Linked DNA regions of Coturnix japonica. The protein of the gene in region 2 purifies or fractionates together with the protein of the main gene of each other region. This does not show direct contact. Links are inferred from orthologs where the notes say so. Each region holds a gene or a part of one and is shown on either strand. Other genes may lie near its edges.

What was found.
Region 1: the proteins of DGCR8 (region 2) and SRPK2 purify together in Homo sapiens (affinity purification with mass spectrometry; 3 studies listed by BioGRID and IntAct, with this or other methods). This does not show direct contact. The link is inferred for Coturnix japonica from reciprocal best matches to the Homo sapiens genes DGCR8 and SRPK2.
Region 3: the proteins of DGCR8 (region 2) and USP36 purify together in Homo sapiens (affinity purification with western blotting; 3 studies listed by BioGRID, with this or other methods). This does not show direct contact. The link is inferred for Coturnix japonica from reciprocal best matches to the Homo sapiens genes DGCR8 and USP36.

The regions. Positions count from the first base shown.
Region 1 is NC_029516.1:12,443,020-12,448,059, reverse strand, and holds part of SRPK2 (SRSF protein kinase 2), read left to right. Parts: intron 1-2,244; coding exon 2,245-2,345; intron 2,346-2,445; coding exon 2,446-2,553; intron 2,554-5,040. UniProt on the Homo sapiens protein: Serine/arginine-rich protein-specific kinase which specifically phosphorylates its substrates at serine residues located in regions rich in arginine/serine dipeptides, known as RS domains and is involved in the phosphorylation of SR splicing factors and the regulation of splicing.
Region 2 is NC_029530.1:1,009,370-1,014,409, reverse strand, and holds part of DGCR8 (microprocessor complex subunit DGCR8), read right to left. Parts: intron 4,878-5,040; coding exon 4,595-4,877; intron 4,164-4,594; coding exon 3,966-4,163; intron 3,397-3,965; coding exon 3,295-3,396; intron 2,924-3,294; coding exon 2,825-2,923; intron 2,364-2,824; coding exon 2,281-2,363; intron 2,006-2,280; coding exon 1,905-2,005; intron 1,452-1,904; coding exon 1,345-1,451; intron 1,140-1,344; coding exon 1,012-1,139; intron 606-1,011; coding exon 492-605; intron 124-491; coding exon 40-123; 3' UTR 1-39.
Region 3 is NC_029533.1:4,605,296-4,609,496, reverse strand, and holds part of USP36 (ubiquitin carboxyl-terminal hydrolase 36), read left to right. Parts: intron 1-37; coding exon 38-108; intron 109-184; coding exon 185-267; intron 268-520; coding exon 521-632; intron 633-866; coding exon 867-1,007; intron 1,008-1,081; coding exon 1,082-1,182; intron 1,183-1,327; coding exon 1,328-1,457; intron 1,458-1,581; coding exon 1,582-2,151; intron 2,152-2,616; coding exon 2,617-2,720; intron 2,721-3,125; coding exon 3,126-3,569; intron 3,570-3,646; coding exon 3,647-3,795; intron 3,796-4,042; coding exon 4,043-4,198; intron 4,199-4,201. UniProt on the Homo sapiens protein: Deubiquitinase essential for the regulation of nucleolar structure and function. Required for cell and organism viability.

The DNA.
Region 1 (5,040 bases), on a different chromosome or scaffold from region 2:
TGCAAAGAAAGTAAAATGACCGTAAATTCAGCCATAGCTCACCGCTTCCTCAGAAGGAGAAAAAGCTGAATGTTGTTCATCTGAATGGCACAATTTAAACAGTGATAAGACAAATTCAACTACATTAGAATGAAGGACGGTATGGCAGTTGCAGGCCATTCAATATTTCAACTGGTGCTGCTTTTTCACTGTATCTTTAGTGCTCATTTCATGTATGGATGCAGACTTTGTTTGCGTGTCTCTCCATGTAGCCATTGCTATACGTTCTTATGTAACATGTTCTCAACTAATGCTGATCTGCATTCAGTGGATGAGCAACTATTTTTTGTCAAGTTTTTACCTTTATTTAATTCTTTGTTGAGTGTATAACTGTGCGACCAGACGCTCTCAGGGACAGATTTATTAATTTCGTCATGACTTTCCTCCTCATTCCAGTGTCTGAATGTTTACTAAGTATATTGTCATGGTGTGACTGTGAGAAGAGGAGGTGATATTTCTCAGTTTTACAAAACTGGGACACACAGAAGTGAAAATTAGAAATGCTCACTAAGTTTGCCCTCAGGTTGAGTATCACAGGGTGCTTTTAAAGAGTTCTTACTAAGAAGTACCGTCTTTTTGACTTCACAGCTAGTTGTGAATTATCGGTGTTAGTCTAAGTCAGAATCTGAGGTGTCTCATTCATCTCAGAAAATAAAGAACACAAGCTCACTGAGCTCATGAGAAAAACATGAAGATGGAGGCACTTGGCTGTTACCTTTGCCTGTTCACTGTGTTAAAGGGAGGTTGCAAAATGCTTCCTAATGTCATTTTCAGATGTCTCACTAACAAAGCCATTTTTTCCTTCTTCATTCTCCTGCTTTATTTACTGCAGTCCTTCACCTTCAACAAGATGCATGAGAAGGATTTATTTCAGCAATAGCAAGGCTACTGAACTGACTCCTGTTATTTCATGAATAGTGCATGGGTTTGTGTTTAAAAAAAATTTGACTGTGCTATGCTGCATGGTCTTAAGGGAAGACTTTAAGTATTTTCTGTCTTTTCAGGGGTAGAAAGCAACCTTAATACTCTCTCAGTGTATTTTACTTTTACACTCTCTGATGGTGCTTTTTTAGAACTTGAGCCTTGCACTCAGTTACAGCTCTTTTAGAGGACTGTTTTGTTGAGGTCACTGCCTGTTCTGTCTTCTGCCATTTAGTGTTTTCTTTTCTTCCCTGGTAAGTTCTGCCATTTTCTTTTCCAGATGGCCATTATTTAGTGCCATGGTTGCTCATTTGCACTTCTTGTCCCAGTACTTCAAGATCTGCATCTTGTTTCAGTCATTTGCAACTCATCCTGCTAGACTTCCTCTCATTTTCCTCCTTGTCTCATGTGCCGTGTGTTTTCTTCTTCTAATATACTTATGCAGGTTTAACTGATCATTATATCCCCTCTGGATTCCCAGATGCCTTTCAGATCTGGTATCTCTTTCATGTCTCACCATCAGTTTCTGGTTGAGTTCTTGTGGCTTTGAGATGAAGAAACTGATGGTCCCTCTGGTGTTATTGTACTTGTGATACTTGGTTCTTTCTTCCACGTTTAAGGCAACCTGCTTTCTTCCCCACACGTGTTAGGAGTCAGCAGGTGGTATGTAAAAATAGCAAGAAAAAAGGAGGAGTCCTCAAGAATTGTATGTTAGAACCTCCAGTGTCTCAGGAGAATATACAGATTGCTGGATTAATTAGATCGCAGTTTTGCAGTTTTACTTTGAATCATGTTTAGTGCAAATAGATCCTTCAGAGAACTTTGATTCAATGTTGAATTATCTGTGAAATGGGTAACAGGCTGCTGGGCTCTGAAATCTGCCAAGTTCTGATCATTCCTTTCCCAGTGGGGCAGATCTGAAAAGAAAAACAACAAAATATCAACAGCCAAACTTCAGGTACCTTAACCAGGAGTGGAAGGGATGGATTCATTTTCTCAATCAAACCATTTAAAGAATGTCTTTTATGTGCAGTTTGAGTTTTAACTTGTTTTGTCATGGAAATATGCTTCATTTTTACGTAGATGCTCTGCCACATATTTTAATAATAGGTATATGGAAGTTTATTAAAAAACGTGCTTAGTATGTGTGAGGATGTTTAGAAATCGAGGTAAGAAATTGAAATCCTGTTTATGTTGCTTTAATTTCTCCTAATGTTCAACAAAGTCACTTGCAGAAAACGAGTAGCATGTTCTGAATACTCTTCTGCCTTTTGTTTGTATTAGCAAAAACTCGTGCTGCTGACTTACTGGTGAATCCACTGGACCCACGAAATGCAGATAAAATTAGAGTTAAAATTGCTGACCTGGGAAATGCCTGCTGGGTGGTAAGTGTAACTACATCAATTCAACTCTCTAGTCTTCTCTGTGTAGAACAGCCCTTTTTATTGCTCATTTTTGCCATTAATGTGATTCTTTCTGTTTTAGCATAAACACTTCACAGAAGACATCCAGACCAGACAATATAGATCCATAGAGGTTTTAATAGGAGCGGGTTACAGTACACCTGCAGATATCTGGAGTACAGCATGTATGGTAAGAACTGTACAGTGTGTATTTTTCAAGAAAAGAATCCTAAAAATAGTTGTTTACTGAGGGAAGGAATCTGACGAGGATAATTCTGATATTTTGACAGAAATGTAACGCTATAGATTATATACCGTCAGACAGCAGCTGATTGTTGTTCCCTTTTACTTCAGTATTTTAATCGTCTTTAATCAACAGGAGGTATTTTGGAGAAATGTTCTGGTTTTCATTTCAGGCATTTAAAATCTGCAGTTAAAAATATGTAAGCTTGAAGGGAAAGATGTGTGTATTTTAAATGTCAAAATCCAATTGAAGTAGTATGACTGTATACTTTGTTCCTGTATTAGACTGTGCAATCCTGCGCTGTTTCCTTTTTCTTGCATAAAATAGTGAAAACCTGAAATACTTTAAATTTTGCCAACTTCAGTGAAAGCGTTTGTCAGAGTAGGTTTGCAGATCGCAGCTTTAGACTCTAATCTTGAAGGGAAGGAATTTATTCTATTAGCAAAGTATGTGGTAATGTTGTGTCGAATTTGTTTTAACACAGTAAAACTGATGTGTGTTTTAAAAGCTTTAAAGTGTAGGAAGGATGAAAGGCTAATTGTTGCACTTTCTGAAACACTGATTCTGTTTGCAGTCTCACTTCCAGGACAAGTAATCTACGTGCATTTTCTCATTAGAGTTGGAAACACGTTTAGAAGTACCTTTGTCTATTTAAAAAGTGAAAACTTATTCGAGTCATTATATTTTACAAATATGTATCTGAAAAGATTAAGTGTGTGATGAGGAGGAGAACACTTAAATACTAGACACAGTTTGCAGGCGTGGGTGATGAGAAGAATTGCAGAACTCGGAGAGGAGGAGGACTGAAAGGAACATAAAATCCTACAGATATTATAAGCTCAGCAAGCCATGTGTTGGAAGTAACTGACTATAAGTAAATCTGCAAGTATGTGTTCTCTGGAGTTCAACACTAGTTTTTCTTTTAGTTGATGGAAAAGAACATCCATTTCTAAATTTACTCTTCCATTTTGAGGCAAAATGTAGAATTTTTCTATTGGATTGAAAACAAAGCATAGAAAATTTTCTACAATTTTGAACCCGAATTCTTTATTTATTCTTCCCATAATTAGCTGTAAGAATACTATAGAAACTTTTCATTCCTTATATCTGATATTTTGCGAACTTCTGTTCTACTTGAAACCTTGTTACAGTACTGAATACTCTATATTACTGTATAGTCTTAAAGGTTGTACTGGTTCAGCCTACATCCTGCTAATTGGCACGTGGTGGGAGTTGCTTTATTGTTCCTTTTAAATAGAGAAAACCCCTTTTGAAGGGTGGGATCTGAGGCACAATGTATGAGTTCTTATATTGCAAGATCTTTTACCTGCATTTAAGTTATTTGTAGCAACTAGATGGGTTTTGAAAACACTGTATGGTATAAGGGGACATGAAGAATGTGCAAAGAAATACTGGGCTCATCCTGCCCCTTACACTTGCCATCATTTTCATGTCACATACGCTCTGTTGCTTTCTTCATGTAAATCCCTTTTAAAGCCCAAGAAAACAAACTCAAAACTTAAAGAATCCCTCCTGCTGATGGTGTCTTAATTCAGATTCATGATTACTTATGAAATTTAATTATTTTCATCTGAAAAAAAATATGTTTTATTAAAATTATTTATTTAAATATAGTAAAGCATGTGAGGCAGAAATAATAGAGTTCCCTTTTGTCTTCGGCCACAGACATGGTATTTTTGCCCTTAAAAACACTAGAAATACTGAAATCTTACAGCACTGACGTGCAGCGGTTGAATGCGGTTGTCTTCACTGTACAAATGCAGTCATGTAAAAGATAGAGATCGCCTCAAAAATTAGAGTTTGAAAACTCCTCAGGATCTGCTTTAATTCCTGTGTGATTAGGAAGTGGGTCATGGCAGTGGAAGTGCTCCCTGTAGCAGAGGGAGTACTGCTCTGAGGTAGGTATTAACTGTGCAGACCTTAATAGCCTTTCTGCAGAGGGTTTTTGACAGAGATTAACAGCCAGAGAAACATGACTGGTGTTAACTTATCTAGGCCATTTTTGGAAGTCATGATTTGATTCTCTCTAGTCCCTAAAGCATCCAAGAACTGATGTTCTGAAGCACTGTGATGCCATGACAGTCTCACTTGTTTCCTCATGTTTGGATCCTTCGTTGTACTTAGATGTGATTCAGAAAACGTCCTTCTAGGTTACTTTGCTCTTGTTTCCATATTTATGTCAGTTTATTCTGTAGTGCTTACACCTGTGTTTTCAAAGGGGACTGTCTGCTGAAGCTGGAGGCGTTGTTTATTTTGCTCTGACTGACTGAAAATACAGCTCAGGTATCCTGTGAGCCGTGCTAGGACAAATTCAGTGGAGAGGAAGGTGATTCTCCACTTCTTTGAATTCTTGCTTTGCATATATGACGGGTTCAGCGTTGTTAAGAACACTTTTGGAAGCTGTCCTCTATA
Region 2 (5,040 bases):
TCCGTTTGTGTTATTGCTCCCTACTCGGAAATCCTCCCTTTAGACATCAACAGTGCAGAGCGGTTCGCTGCCAGGCTGAGCAGATTCCACAATCGTCATCTTGGGCTTCTTCCGTGTTTCCTCCTTAGGAAAACAAACACAAAACAGCTTGGAACGAAGCCCGCCTTGTGCTCACAGAAAGAACATCACAGTGAGAAAATCACAGTGAGAAAATAACTGCACAACCACAGCCAAATCGGTGTCAGTCTCTTTGAAGGTTAATTGGTTCTAACATCAAATGTCAATTGACCAAAGCAAAATTAAGTAATAAATCCACTTAAAAGGGAGGACAAAAATCCCTCTCAAAGCAGTTCTACTGAAAAACAAGTTCTGAACAACTCCTCCTACGAGATACTGCAGGAAACAAGCACAGACTACAATTAGTGAGCCTTGTTTGTAAACCACGTACCACAGAAGAGAAACAAAGTCCATCAGGAGCAGCAGATACTCACTCTTTCTTGTGCCAGTTTCTTCATTTCTTCCTGCAGCTTGTTCAGGATGTGCAGATTTGGCTTGTTCTTTTTGGCATACTGCTGGAGCTCAATCACACTTTTATCAGAGGTCTCCTGTTGAACAAGACCATAGGCAACAACACACGAGCTGTTATGGTTTAGAAATACACACACACAAGAAGTTCTCTCTGACAGCAACATTTCCTTAAGTAATAAGACAGATGCACATGAGCTAGTTTCACATTACATAGGTGGGATGGTTTCTGTCTGGCAAATACAAGATTAACAGAAGTGCCAATGAAAGCATCACACTGGCAAGAGCAAAGTGTGAGAATCACCAGTTCAGAAGAACTGAGATTTGCTCACCAAACGCACACTGCCCTGCGCACAACGGAGAGAAAAAGATGATGCTGAGATGGATGCCACCACAGGTTTTTTTCTTATCACATTAAAAACCAATAACGAGACACAGAAAAATACAGTCACAATGTAGATCACAATTAAAGGAAATCATCTTTACCTGTTTGACCATCTTGCTACTCTCTCTACCATACATACGCAAAAGAGAGCCCCAGTTCTTCACGTGTGGATGCAGAAGCTGCAGGATTTTCTGTGATGCCAGTTGTTTGCCCACTCGTTTATTTTTGCCTGTAAAAATAACCATGAAAACGTCACAGCTGTACTTTGCACAGTTGGACACCAAGCTGACTTGTGCTATTCAAAGCTGAGACAACAGAAAAGAGTAGAGTAAGAATAAAACAAGTTAAGTAACTGAACAAACACCTGCAAAATGGATAACAGAGGACAGGAAGAAAAGGAAGATATCAGAGGTCACACTAAGTGCTGTACTTACACCAGCCTCGCACTGTGTGCTTGCCACAAGTCATGACATATTCACTCTTCTGATTTTTACCAGGAATCACTTCAAATTTTATGGATGTGTCACCCATTCCGTGGTTTCTTGAGCACAATGAATAAATAAACCAACATCACATGCTAAGTACAATTGCAAATAAACAAATAATAACAGTTGTTTTTGTCAGTAACTGCTGCAGAGTCAGATGCAGCGATAATAAATTTTAGGACATCGGTTAATAGGGAGTTATTTCTTAGATCAGTGACTTGAATTGAATGAGAACGGCCCCACATAAAGGAAAAACAATTCTATGCCTCACGATTATATCCTAAGCTGAGAATTTTCTTCAGAAAGCAAACCCACAAGATATTAGTTAATGAAAGACTCGCTATGAACCAGTTCAGTCCACGCCACCTCTTACAGGCAGCGAGTGCAGTAGGCTCAGGCAGCCTGCAAGTGTCCTTCAGTTACTGAGGAACACTGGGCAGCAGCATGCAGCAAACCCTGTGCCCTGACTGAGACGTGCACAAAACAGAACCCGCATGCTGCAGCCTTACCTTTTAAGGCACTCATGGAGAATCTGATATGGAGACAAGAGCCCAGCTTTGCTGGTCAGTTCATATACCCGTGAGTCCTCAATACTGATATGGTTAAAATACTACAAAGAAATTGAAGAGAGATATAAAAGTTTTTGTGCAAATCTAACTCAAATACTGTTCTAAACGGTCATCTCTCCTGCGTAACATTAAACACTGTTACTCTGCACCAAAAAGTATTCTTAAGTGAAAAAAAGTCTTTATCAAAATCATTAAAATTGCCATCCAACTGAGAAAACGGGGCTGGGGACTTTTAGTAATTTTTTCCACACTGGAAACATGATTATTTAAAAACTGAGACTGCAGTAACCACAGCCATGGGGCAAGAGGTCGGTACCTCAAGTTCTTCACTGTCTTTGGGCTTCTCTTCAGAGGTTTGCTTAACAAAGTCAGGAATAAGGATTTCCAGTGTAGCTCGAGCTGCAGAAAATGATTTAATGTCGCAATTAGCTTTATTTTAAATGACAACTGAAAACAGTAGCAGAACACTTCACAACTATTAAACTGCACTAAGAAACTGCTTCTTGAAATGCTTATAGAAGCATTGTCAAATCAAGCAATGTCCCCATCCTTCCAGCTCTAAGGGTTCTATGATTCTAAGTATAAAGTTAGAAAAAGCTCAGCACATACACACTGGTGAGATAACTGGAAGCAGATGGTTTTTTACAGCTTATCAGCACAGATCAGAAATCAACTTCAAGCTTCCTCCTGCTTTTCTGTCCCAGTACAGGTGGGAGCTCTCTACAGCAGTACTTTTAATAAGACTACATGGTGCATGTTTTGTAAATGATGAACAAAATTATTCCTACTTACTATTGCAAATACAGTCATCTTCAAAACAGAAAGGAAAACAGAACAATTAAGAAGGGAAGAAACATTACCAGCTTTATTCTTGGCAAGCTTTTTGCTGCTGGCAGTTCCTGCCCCGTAAGTTACTCCATCAATAATCACGGAGGCTCCAAAAGGCTCACTTGGGTTCTCTGAAAATGGAGAGGAGAAAAGGAAACCTTTCCAGCAGTCCCCATGTATAACAGTCACATACAGAAAACAAACATCGCTATTATCAGTATTTGCTTTCCTCATTGCAGCTTCAAGTAAGGTGGATATTGAGTGCTCTTCAGACAGACTGACTACTCCAGCACACAAAGTCCTAATGGTCTCCACTAACACACACTTCCCACCACATGCACTTCATTCTTCCAAGTAGAGAATTTCTCCATTTTAAGAGATTGTTTAAGATCCGACAGAATTCAAACATTAATTCCAAAGGCTTTTTCCTTCACTACGACAGTGCAAATACAATATGCCAATGTTAAAAACTGTGCTCCATTTGAAACCAGGACAGACTTACCACATTCAAAGAAATTGTAAACAGGGCGAACCTTTAGGACTCGTTGCATATATTCATGTAGTATGCAAACTTCAGATTTCCCATTGGGATTAATGACAAATTCTACAAAAAAGAGAAGATGGCAGCTAGTTTTGGTCTTAGAGAGAAAACTGCTATGAAAAACGAAGTATTTAGTGGCAAAATGCAAGGAAGAATTGCTGCTCAAATTACAAGCGATGCGTTTTAAGGCTGCCTGCAGTAATTAACGCACATCGTGTCCCACTCATCGACGTGTTTCAAGAACAGAAGCAAGAGCTCTCACTTTGAGCTCATCATTAATTTCAACTGACAAAACACTTCACTTTTACACCTGGTTCCTCACTTGACAGTTTAGAAAACTGACTCCAGCAGATCACCTTCTAAGGACCCTTCTGTACCACCTTTTACAATTTCTATTAACCAGCTTATATCCAGTTTTCACTAACAGGCATAGAAAGAAGCTGGTTTTATAACATAAGGGTGAACTATTAAGTATGTACAGAATACCTCAAAAACACAAGCTTTGGAAACAAAGCAAAAACCCACTAAAGCAATTAATGAACAATCACTGTTTGAAATTCAGCCACAACTTTCACATAGGAGGAAATGGTCAATTAATAAAATAAGTTTAATCTCTCAGTACATGAACTAACCTTTCTTTGTAGGTGCATCTTGCACAGACAAGGTAATGAGTTTCTGGTTGGCAGGCAGAATAGGCCGCTCAGACTCCGCCTGCTTTCGCTTCATCTCACGATTGAACTGCCGTCTCTCAGCCCAGGTTCTGAATTTTTTTACAGTAACTTGTTCAAAGTCAAAACGTTTCTCAAGGTAGCGTCTAAAATCTTCCAGATCTAAGAAGCAAGCAGGTTACTATAGCTGACTATACAGCAAAAATACTTCATGCAAAAAGACGCACAAAGAATACACGGCAATAACAGCTCAGATTGATAGAACTGATTCTTAGACTGATATTCAACTTTACTGGATGAAATACCCCAAATTTCCCACATTCCTGTGTGTAAAGTTTGCACATCAACTCCCAGATGACTCCAGCAGGAGTTCCTAGTCTATGTTTCCCTTCCCGTTACAATCAAAACTCATGTTTAAAGCTGGTTCTATTTTTTCAGATCTCTGCATAAGAAAAAATAGCGCAGAAAGACAACTTACCAAATGATCCCAGGCAGGGGATGACTCAGCTGTCACGCCAGGAATAACAGAAAAACATAACAAATGCCACTAACCCAGCTCCAGCCAAGAGAAAAGTCCCTGTCCCCATACCTACCTACAGATTCATCTTTACATACTTCAACTTTGGCCTTAACTTGTCCTAAGGCTCCTTGTGCCGCATCTCCCCCTGAGGTGTCTTTTTCATCTAAAGGCCCAGAATCAGCAGCAGTGGAATCTGGTTCTTCTGTTTGGCAGTCCAGTTCTGAAGATTTATCTACGTGCTTTATGGGTGATACTTCCCCATTTGGGGTTATGTCATTATTTTGTTCCCTTTCCTCATTTTCCTTCATTTTTTTATAATGCAAGCAGGGAATGCTACTAAGGGGAGGATCATGTTTCTGCAAATATAAAATAACACAGTTTCAGTACCTCGAGGTGACAAAAAGCAAATCCAAAACTCACAAGATGTAGTCCAGATGGAACCTATAGATCTTAAGTTGCTCTTTGGTTAACAATTTTACCCTCTTCAAACCTTAGCGTGTTCATTAGTATGACAACCTG
Region 3 (4,201 bases), on a different chromosome or scaffold from region 2:
ATGTAGCAGGGTGCACTCACTGCTCTTTCTTTTGCAGTGAAATGCTCCGTGTGTAAGAGTGTCTCAGATACCTACGACCCCTTCCTGGATGTGTCCTTGGAGATCAGGGTATGTCAGTGGGCACTGTGTTATGGTGTAGTGTGGACAGGTCACACATGCCCTGAGCTCTGCCCTGTCCTTGCAGCAAGCTGCAAACATCGTGCGGGCGCTGGAGCTGTTTGTGAAATCAGACATGCTGAGTGGGGAGAACGCCTACATGTGTGCCAGGTGAGGGGGGTCCCATGGTGTGGAGTAGCGGAAAGTAAGGTGGTACAGATGCAGCCCCAGCTGGGACGTGTGGCTGTGATAGAGCCGACCCCATTCCAGCTGTATGGCTGGGAGGGAAAGGCCTGGGCAGCAGCAGATGGTGGCCATGAGCTGATGCTTTCATTCAGTGCAATGGATTCCATGAGGTGTGTCCCAGCTGAGGGCAGTCACCTGGCTGTGGAGCAGCTTGGATAGCTGGAGCTCTTCTGTGTAGGTGCAAGAAGAAGGTACCAGCCAGCAAACGCTTCACCATCCACCGAGCCTCCAACGTCCTCACGCTCTCATTGAAGCGTTTTGCCAACTTCAGTGGAGGCAAAATCACAAAGGTGAGAATTGGGCAGTGCAGGGCTGGGGCTGTGCCACGGCTCATAGGGTTCCATTGCAGCATAAGGTCTGCTGCAGCCCGGTAGCCTTCCCCAGGCTGTGCTGCAGGGTCAGCACCTTCCTTGCTGCAGTCCTAGCCAGGGCTGAGCTGGGTGCCCTCTGGAGAGGGATCATAGGGTGGTTGGAGCTGCTTTTGCTCTAGTGGTAAAGACCCCTGAGCCATCCTCTCCCCGCAGGACGTGGGGTACCCTGAGTTCCTGAACATTCGCCCCTACATGTCTCAGAACAATGGTGATCCGGTCATGTATGGACTCTATGCAGTGCTGGTGCACTCGGGGTACAGCTGCCATGCAGGACACTACTATTGCTATGTGAAGGTGAGCCCTAGTAGCACCTTCTTGGGGTGCTGGTGCTGCTCTGGGCAGGGCCTGACCCCAAGCTCTGCTCCTAGGCCAGCAATGGGCAGTGGTACCAGATGAATGACTCCCTCGTGCACTGCAGCAACATCAAGGTGGTCCTCAATCAGCAGGCCTATGTGCTGTTCTACCTGAGGTGAGGTGCCCTGCGTTCCCTGCCCTTCAGCAGCTCCTGTGTATTCTGGCAGCATCAGTCTGGGTGGTTGGCACAAGGACATGGATGCTATGGGGTTTGCTGTCTCCAACCCTCCTGGCTGACATGTGTGCTTTGCTTTCCCCAGGATCCCTGGCCCTAGGAAGGGCTCAGAAGGGCCCATTGCCAAAGCCACCCCCAGCCATTCACCTGTTGTATCTGATCAGACCAAGAGAACCACAACCAACGGGCCCCTGCCAGCACCACTTCTGGGCCGGGTGAGGCTGAGGCGGGATGTGGGGGCTGTGCCCATGGTCCCCACAGCAGCCTGGGGCATGTGGGCAGCATGGTTCTGTCCCCAGGGCCTCCCATTGCTGACCCTCACTGTTTCTCCTTGCCTAGAGCCCTGAGGTGCTGCCGGGCAGGAAGCTGTCGGGGCCGGAGGAGATCGGGGTGCCGGTGTCCCGCAGCACGCTGGGTGTGGGGCCAAAGCTGCCCAATGGCTCTGCACCACCGAAGCCACCCAATGGATCCCCATCACCCAAACTGCCCCTCAGAGCCGCCCAGGTGACACCAAGTGATGACACAGCCCGAAGACCCAAGAAACCGCCATCCCCACAGCAGCCTCTGGCACCAAAAGCATCTTCGGGTCTGTGCAGCTCCAGCACCGCAGATCCACCCCAGCAGAGCCCTGGGGACAGCACGCAGTCCCCCACCTCGCCCAGCACCCCACAGCGCAGCTCCTGCAGCAGCGCAGCCCCCAGCCCCACACACACCGCAGCGGGGGATGCAGCCAAAGCAGCTCCAAAGGCCAAGAGCGGGGCGGGCGGCCTCAACTCCTCTCAGGACACAGACTGTGCCGTGGATCTCCCCGAGGGCTCTAGGCTAGCAAAGCTGAAATCCGCTGCGCTGGAGCCGGGCAGCACCACGTCACCACCCCCAGCCAAGAAGCTGGCACTGTCTGCCAAGAAGGTGAGCCCACGCTGCTGCTCTGTGTCAGCGGGTGCATGTGGGGAGGGGGCAGCGGGTGGTGCTCGTGGAGCTGGGCTGGGAGAACCCCCGTGCTGGGTGAGCTGTGGGGCCAAGCCCAGCTATTCTGGGTGGGTTTTTGCATCCCCACGGTGGGTGCTTTGGGGGGAGCCAGCAGTGGTGCTGCTGCAGCTGGAGAGCTGTGTGCTGCCCCTGCCGGCAGCCGTGCTGCGCCGTGTGCTTTCCATGCTTTAAATTTCCTTCCTTCCTTTTTTCCTTTGTGCTTCTAACTGAGAACACTTCTGATTCTTCTTCTACCCCCCCCCCCCCCCCCACTTCCCTCTTCCCCCTCTGTGTCTGTTCCCCTTTCCCCTTTCTCTGGGCTCCCCTCTTTTTATTTTCCTTCTCTCTGCTCACGGAACCCTTTCTGTTAGACCACCAAGTTTTTATTTATGTCGATAACTGCAGGGCAGCACCCCGCGGAGGGTGAGCGGAAGTGACGGCCGCCTGCAGCCTGCTGGCCTCGCCTCCCCCACGGCCACTGCCCAGCCCTGGCCCTGCGGCAGGCCCAGGTAAGCAGTGAGGGGTCCCCAGCCTCCTGCGTAGCGGCAGCCCTGGAGCTGGTATTGCTGGGATGCTGGCAGGACTCAGCCCAGGTTCTGCAGCCGTGGCTTTGACTGTTGGCACTGCGCAGGCTCTGGATGTGCATTAGCATCTCCTGGCAGCAGGAGGCTCTGGACAGGTCTGCCTGTTGTTCCAGGTCTCTGCTGTGCCTGTGCTGTAGCAGCACCCATGGGCAGTGTGTGCCCAGTGGCCAGGCAGCTCTTGGAGCAGGGTCTGGTTGTGCTTTCTTGGCTTGTGTTTGGGATGGAGCCAGATGTGGGCTGCGCTCCTGCACCCTGGGTACAGAGGGAAAGGGATGTTCCTGCTCTCAGTCCAGCTTTTGGCTTGTTTCAGCCTCTGTTCCTGTCCTGCAGGCTGCCCTCTGCTCTCCCCCTGCCCAGCCCTGACACACCAGCCTTCAGCTTCACCCCCAGCGCAGCCTCCCGGCTCCCAGCCTCCCCCCTAACCAATGGGACCCACTCCTCTCACCGCCATCCAACCCTCAGTGGGGAGCACGGACCCAGCCCTATGACCACCAAAAAGAAGCGGCGAAAGCAGCAGCAGTCAAAAGTGGGAGGCAGCTCGCACACTATGGCTGTGAATGGCTGTGATGAAGGCTGCAGCCCCCCAAGGAAGAGGAGGAACATCGCTCCAGAGGGCTCTATTCCAGGGAAGGAGGTGGCTGGCACAGGCAGGGAGGAGCGGAACCCCAGTGGTTCCCCCAGCATGGAGCCCATTTCTCCCATCAAGAAGAAGAAGAAGAAGAGAAGGCTGCAGGAAACCGAGGAGCGCTCCTCTGGGGCACAACCCTTGGGCAGGTGAGGCTCCAGGGGTGCTTGGGGTTGCCAACCCACTGAGCCTATTGTCTAGTCCTAATGCTTGCTGCCTTCCTTAGCTTCAGGAGAGCTGACACAGATCCCTTGTGGACAAAGCGGCAGCAGAGCCCCGAGCCCAGCGAGGGAGAGAGTGAGCATCGGAAGTGCAAGCAGAGGGAAAGTCTGAGCAACGTGAGCTCAGAGCAGCCAGCTGCCATCAGTGCCCCAGGTACGATGCCATGCTGCCCACTGTGCCCGGTAAGGGCTTTTCCTCTCCATGTTTATGGCTTAATCTTCTCTTGGGAAGGATTCCTCCCAGGTTCTTTATGCCCAAACAACTGTGCCATCCATCTGGGCTTCGGGCTTCAGACCTTCCTAATCCCAACAGTGTCCGTTGGGGTGAAATCTGCCTTGGGGATGGGGGCGGGGTGATGAGGAACATCCCTCTGGCCTCTCCTCACCTGCTTTCCCCACAGCAGCAGTGTGTACATGGGATATCCCAGCCAAAGATGGATGCAAACACCGTGCAGCTGCCCCAAGCACTGGGGCTGGTGTGGAGCCCCGCAGCCCAGAGCGCAGCGTAGTGGAGGAGCTGCTCAGGAACTCCTTGGATAAGGCTTATGGCAAGCAAGGTA